Regions from separate parts of the Mus musculus genome. Here region 2 is reported to be linked to region 1. Evidence: microRNA targets listed by miRTarBase, many of them from high-throughput screens and not tested one by one. Region 1 holds a microRNA gene; the other region holds the end of a gene's coding sequence.

Region 1 (3,419 bases):
TGCAATGCTTTATCTAGTTGGATGTCAAGACACGTGAAACTTAAGTGCATGACACCACACTGGGTAGAGGAGGGCTCACAGTGTTCCTCATTTGTTGTGGGCTTGGGTGGTCACAGTGCTGATAAATGAATGCTGCTGTTAGTTTGGCTGCACAGAAATAGAACCATGCATATTGTGTTTCTAGGTGTATTTATATTGTTACCTTTACATAAGGAATGTTGTGTTAGTGTCAGAAAGAATCTCTTTAAGTCAGACAAGAAAAAATAAAGTACATTAACACAGTTCCCAGTACATGAATACATTTATAAAACCTCCACTCTTTATTTTGACAGTCATTTCCCTTAGAAGAAGGCAAGTAAAAGGATTTATGGTATGAGAAACACATACTAAAGGTGTTTGATAATATGATTTTAAGCCTAAATTACAGAAGAGTTCAAACATTGTGGTTTGATGACTATGTAATAAAATGGGCAGGAGATGAAGGAAGCTTTTGTGACAGTGTCTACTTAAATACAATTATGCTCATTTTTATATTAACATTGGTACTGATGAGATGAAGTCCTTATGACCATGGATTTTCTTAAAGGAAGGTTCAGCAAGTAACTCATATAATGGCCTCTGTATGTAACCAAGGTAACTTGAAGTTCCTATTTATAGAGGAATTTTTGATATCTGATGGCTTAAATTCTCTTTAACATTCTTTGGACAGTCTGTTCTTAATCTTATGAACCTCATGTTAAATAATGTAAAGAAAGGTGCTAACATAAGGTACTTTTATTAGTGCATACATGTATAAAGTTAAATACTATAGATCATAGAATATGAAGAGTTGTGAAAGATAAAGTGCAGTATAGTCCTTTTAAACCTATGAATAAATAAGGTATTGTTGATGTATCTAACTATATTTATATAATTGCTGGAATATACTGAAGATTGTGGGATCAAGCTGAGACACAGGACATCACTGAACAAACTGTGTGCACTGCAATACTCAGATTGATATGAGTCACTTCCTATTGCATGTTACTCCATCCTCTCTGAGTAGAGTAAGGCACACCAATCACCAGTTTTGGTACCTGTAAATGTCTCATGTATGGATATGGTGAGGTTGATACATGCATGCATATTAGATGTGTTTTCCAGTCTTCAGCTTCAATGTATTACACTTCACCTTAGATAGCTTGGATGAGTGAACAGACTACAGAAGGATAAAAAATGATCTTTTTGGGAAATACTACGGTTCAGAGAAAATGGCAGTCAGCTAACTTTCATGCTAGTGAAAACCATTCTTCTGAAGCTGGAGGAATGTTAAAAAGATAGGTTCTTGATGGAATCCATGATGATGCATGAACAAATTAGACTAGCATTTAGTTATCATGTGAGTTGGTAACTTGATGCAAGCTAAAGATAAAAAGGGGATTGTAGAGGCTAGATTTCAACATTTCAACATTTACATATAATGTATGCTGCTTTAGCTAATTTTCTGTGCACCCTGGGAAACATAAAAGATGATATCCCATATTGGGTAAGGCAATATTTAATGAAGATTTCATTTGTGTACTCACCTTATGAATATATACAAGTATGTAAGCATAAAAGTGCAAAACATTTAGTTTATTCTTCATATGAATTAATAAAATGAATTTAATTTTACAGATACAGTGTTGGCAATCATCTACGCAAACTACAGGTCACTGTATCTACCATATATTGTTCTTATATGGATATTTAAAACAGAGTTGTGATACTCATTTCTTCCCTACTCCCTCACTTATCCTAGAATCTTACCTTGCTCCACAGTTAAACAATGCCCCCCCCCATTAGTCTCCTTTCCTCTTCCATACCACCTGTGTTTTGTTACCCTTTTAGTAAGCTTTTCTCACAACTCTCTACCCAGTGGCCTTTTTCTATTTTTATGGGTTCTGTAGTTATTCCTTGCTGAACACACAAATCTAATAATTATTTTAATACTTGCATGTTACAGGAGGAAGAAAAATAACTTCAACGAGAAATTCTAACTTATATAAGTGAAATTACAGTCCCCCGTATTGTCTTGGTAGAGAATACCATTAATTGAAACAGAAGACACATCAGAGGATATTCTCTTGGAGGAATTTTTGGTGACAATTTGTAGATTGTGTGTGTGTGTGTACATATATGTATATATATTATACACAAAGTATGTCAAGTTTTAGCAACAATGTACAATTGGTACTTTGCTAAAAGATAAAGAGGATCATGGAAGCTACATTTGCAACATTTTTATATTAAAGGTATGATGTACCCTGCTTTACCTAATTTGTTGTCCATCATGTAAAACATAAATGATGATAGACACCATATAAGGTAGAGGAAGGTTCACTATGTTCATCACCTGGAACATCATTGTGGTATAGAAGCATTAACCCTTGTTAGAGCTTGCTGGCCTTAATTTGGCATTTGTATCTAAAGGACCAAAGTTTAGTAAGGTGCATTTATTCTTTTTTTTCCCATTTTTTATTAGGTATTTAGCTCATTTACATTTCCAATGCTATACCAAAAGTCCCCCATACCCACCCATCCCCACTCCCCTACCCACCCACTCCCCCTTTTTGGCCCTGGCGTTCCCCTGTACTGGGGCATATAAAGTTTGCAAGTCCAATGGGCCTCTCTTTCCAGTGATGGCTGACTAGGCCATCTTTTGATACATATGCAGCTAGAGTCAAGAGCTCCGGGGTACTGGTTAGTTCATAATGTTGTTCCACCTATAGGGTTGCAGATCCCTTTAGCTCCTTGGGTACTTTCTCTAGCTCCTCCATTGGGAGCCCTGTGATCCATCCATTAGCTGACTGTGAGCATCCACTTCTGTGTTTGCTAGGCCCTGGCATAGTCTCACAAGAGACAGCTACATCTGGGTCCTTTCAATAAAATCTTGCTAGTGTATGCAATGGTGTCAGCGTTTGGATGCTGATTATGGGGTGGATCCCTGGATATGGCAGTCTCTACATGGTCCATCCTTTCATCTCAGCTCCAAACTTTGTCTCTGTAACTCCTTCCATGGGTGTTTTGTTCCCAATTCTAAGGAGGGGCATAGTGTCCACACTTCAGTCTTCATTCTTCTTGAGTTTCATGTGTCATTCTTCTTGAGTTTCATGTGGCATTTATTCTTTAATGTTAACCTTGCAGACACATCAAGATTTATAAACATTCAGATACAACAATCATTACATGTTTTTAAATTACAGATTTAGTTCAGTATATTTTTAAATTATAATTTAATTATAATATTTATACCTCTTATTTTTCCCTCCAAACACTTTCATATTTCCCTCCCTGCTCTCCCTCAAATTGATGATGTTTGTCAATAATTGTTACTGAATGTATTGATGTATTTTTATATAGCTATTTATTCCTAAATATATTCTGCTAAGTCTGTATAG
Region 2 (3,419 bases), not on the chromosome of region 1:
AGGGACCCTGTTCTTATTTCCCAGTAGTTTCCTAGCAAATTGGGCTCAGAGTGGGAAGAGGTACTTGTAAAATGCAAATATATATACATACATATATACATACATATATACATACATATATATATATACACATACATATATATATATGCTTATTATGTATGTATGGGGAGGGATATGCATGTAAGTGCAGGTGCTGAGAGATCCCCCACCCCAGCATCTGGAGTGACAGGCCATTGTGAGCCACCTGATGTGTGCTGGGAACAGAACTTACATCTTAACTGCTGAGCTATCTCTTCAGTGCTACCAAATTCTTGCTTTAAATAACATCAGCCCTCTCATGGGAACATTTGCTATGATGCTCAGCTTCTCATAAAAAGGAGTAAGTAACATCCTAAAGGTTCCCCAGGCCTGTTTCTTTGCTTTATCAATAAAGAGTCAGAGTCTTGTGAATTTTAGGTGCTTGTCAGACTATAGATTCGATGTGATAGTGGGAGCCAGAATGTAAGCTCCGGGTATGCAAATGAGTGTCCAGTCAGCTAATGCCCCATTCTCAGTGGGGGCTGAGCAGCACTGCTTCTGTGGGGCCTCATCATTCCTGGCCAGTCACACTGCAGCTCAGTGCTACAAAAGCGGAGGGTGTGCCCCTGTCTGTACATGGCATGAGTTTTTGAGATTTTGGTGTTTGGGGACAATTTGTTTTCCTAAGTTAAGGTGGAAGGGGCTTCCAAAAGTGTTTGAAAAGAAGCAGAGATGCTGATATAGATGGAGGTTGTATACCTTTTGGGACATACATTTATATATCGTCTACTTTCTACACACACACACACACACACACACACACACACACACACACACACACTGTACTGTGATTTCATTTGTCATACTTTAGAAGTAGCCGTGTTTATGTAAGCCAGAATGTAATGGGCATTCATATGGATGTCTGGATACTCAGTGCCTCACGCACAGGGGCAGGGCTTAGTAGTACCTCTTCTCCATGACTACCTGTCCCTGATTTTACTTCTCCTGAAACTGGATGCAAAATCAGCATCACAAAATGTATTTGTTTAGGCAAAATGAAACAACTTCCATTTGACTTCACAATATCACTGTGTCTTCTCACATAGTTCAGTAGTCGTTTATAAAAACAGCTACCGTTTCCCTCTACTATGGCTATACCTTATGGGCTCATCTAGAAACAAAAAGACAAAACCAGGGTTATGGCCAACGTGAGATATTTTCTGGATACACGAGCAACAATGAAAACATTTTGAAAATTAACAGGCAGCCGTAAGTATAAATACACTGTCGAAAGCATTTAACGCTTTTTAACATAGCCAAGTCCCCTGAGCTTGAAGCAGCATTAAATTCTCCTTTGCCAGTGGCAAAAAGAAGCCGACAAGCACAGAGCTGAAAGATTGGTACCGTTTCTCGGCCAGTAAGCAACAGAACCAAGGGGCTTAATATTTTATGGGTTTTTATTTATTTATTTTTGTTCTCATGCTGTTTCTCTCCCCGTCTCCTTTTCTCTCCTGTTCTTGCCTGCCAGGACTGATTGTGGTGACGTTGGCCGTGTGTTGGATGCCCAATCAGATCCGACGGATCATGGCTGCAGCAAAACCCAAACATGACTGGACCAGAACGTACTTCAGGGCATACATGATCCTCCTGCCCTTCTCTGATACCTTCTTCTACCTCAGCTCTGTGGTCAACCCTCTCCTCTACAACGTGTCCTCTCAGCAGTTCCGGAAGGTGTTCTGGCAGGTGCTCTGCTGCCGCCTGACTCTGCAGCATGCCAACCAAGAGAAACGCCAGCGTGCCCGCTTCATCTCCACCAAGGACAGCACCAGCTCAGCCCGCAGCCCCCTCATCTTCCTAGCCTCCCGGCGCAGTAACTCTTCCTCCAGGAGAACTAACAAGGTTTTCTTAAGCACTTTTCAGACTGAGGCCAAGCCTGGAGAGGCTAAGCCCCAGCCCTTGAGTCCTGAGTCACCACAGACTGGCTCAGAGACCAAACCAGCTGGGTCCACCCCAGAAAATAGTTTACAGGAGCAGGAAGTATGAATGGCAAGTTCAGAAGCCTTGAGCCGAAACTGGCTCTCCCCTCCCGCAAAAGCAAAGTTACCTTCACGCAGCAGCAGTCTCTGAATAGACTGTGACTCCTACTGGGACAGAATGGAAGCTCAAGGCTTTGGGAAAGGCAGATGCGTATCTCAATGACTTCTAAGGGCTGGTTCTTCCAGGCTAGCCTTGGCGGTGGTTAACCAGATTGGGATGGGAGGGTCTGGACTTTCTGCTCCATGCTTTTTTCTTCAACTACACACAGAAATTCAGAATGAATTGGTTCAGAGCTTACAAAAGTATTTGTGCACGGCAATCTTGCGTTACTTGAAAGGAGGGAACAAAAAGACTCCCTTGTCTACCCAGAATAAAAGGACACCCAGAAGAGACTCGGGAAGGTGAGAGACGAAGGGCCAGACAGGTGAGGCAGCAGGGGTTGGCATCTCCTTTAGCTTCAGCAGTGTGCCAAGCAGAGGGCTAAGTGGAAGAACAGGAGAGTGGTGAGAAGCCCTGGCCTGATGGCCGAGGCAGAGCTGCCTCTCTTCTTGGGCCTCGGCCCATTGCAAAGAGGGGTGTTGCAGCAGCTGATGCACACGGAGTTCAGTTTCCCAGGGGAACAGAAGGACTGGTACCCAGCTGAAGCAATGAGACAGGCTGCTGACGATGCACACGACTTCCGGTACATGATCCCTATAACACAGGCCCAGAGAAGTGGGGTTAGCATATGTGATCTGCAGTCCAGCTATCTCTTTGTGCCCAAATCTGAGTGCATAACCTTTCCTTAACTCCTCCCACAGAAAGGGCTCTTATCTCCTGATCTGGGAGATGGTTCAGGGGATAAGAATTCTCAGACTTATTGGAGTCTGGGAGTTCTTTTGGGTGGGCATGGAGGTCACCAAACACACAGAACTTATGGTGAATGTTGTTCCAACAGAGATTTTAGTTGCTGGTGTCCATGAATAAAGAGCTATTAAAATCAAAGTCTCCCCTCACCACTCTGTGTGTGCAATGCATGTGTATATGTTCATACATGCAATGTATGTATATATGTTCATGTATGCAATGTATGTGTATATGTGAGTGCAGTATCCTCAGATTCCAGAAGAGGGAATTGGATTCGTTTGGAATTGGAGTTACAGGCAGTTGTGAGCTGTCTTAAGGAGGTGTTGGGAGCTAAACTCAAGTCCTCTGCATCCTTGTAACCATCTCTCCTGCCCCTACACTCAGCTTTTTAATATGGGTTCTAAGGATCAAAGAAAGTTAAGCCCTCATGGTTGCAATGGCAAACACATTACCGATGCAGCCATGTCTCCAGCAACAATGTCTATTTTAAAGTCAGCTCCTAATTTATACTAGACAAC

The links. The annotated mature microRNA mmu-miR-880-5p reads UACUCAGAUUGAUAUGAGUCA and lies in region 1 at 989-1,009, shown strand. An mRNA with a match to its seed (bases 2 to 7 or 8) in the 3' UTR can be bound and repressed. Matches are read on the target gene's strand: a 7mer-m8 pairs with bases 2 to 8, a 7mer-A1 pairs with bases 2 to 7 and ends in A, and an 8mer does both.
Region 2: the mRNA of Lypd1 is a reported target of mmu-miR-880-5p. Seed matches in the 3' UTR shown: 7mer-A1 at 946-952.

What each region holds. Positions count from the first base shown.
Region 1 is chrX:66,798,167-66,801,585 of GRCm38, reverse strand. Mir880 (microRNA 880) reads left to right here and starts at 979; the gene lies at 979-1,056. Mir463 (microRNA 463) reads left to right here and starts at 2,289; the gene lies at 2,289-2,363. It overlaps Mir878 (microRNA 878), which reads left to right and starts at 1; the gene lies at 1-78.
Region 2 is chr1:125,870,824-125,874,242 of GRCm38, forward strand. It overlaps Lypd1 (Ly6/Plaur domain containing 1), which reads right to left. Exons shown (of 3, transcript NM_145100.4): 3 at 1-2,748. The coding sequence ends at 2,513. Gpr39 (G protein-coupled receptor 39) reads left to right here. Exons shown (of 2, transcript NM_027677.2): 2 at 1,547-3,039. The coding sequence ends at 2,061. Among named protein-coding and RNA genes, the nearest start is that of Gm41943, 31 kb to the left of the region's middle.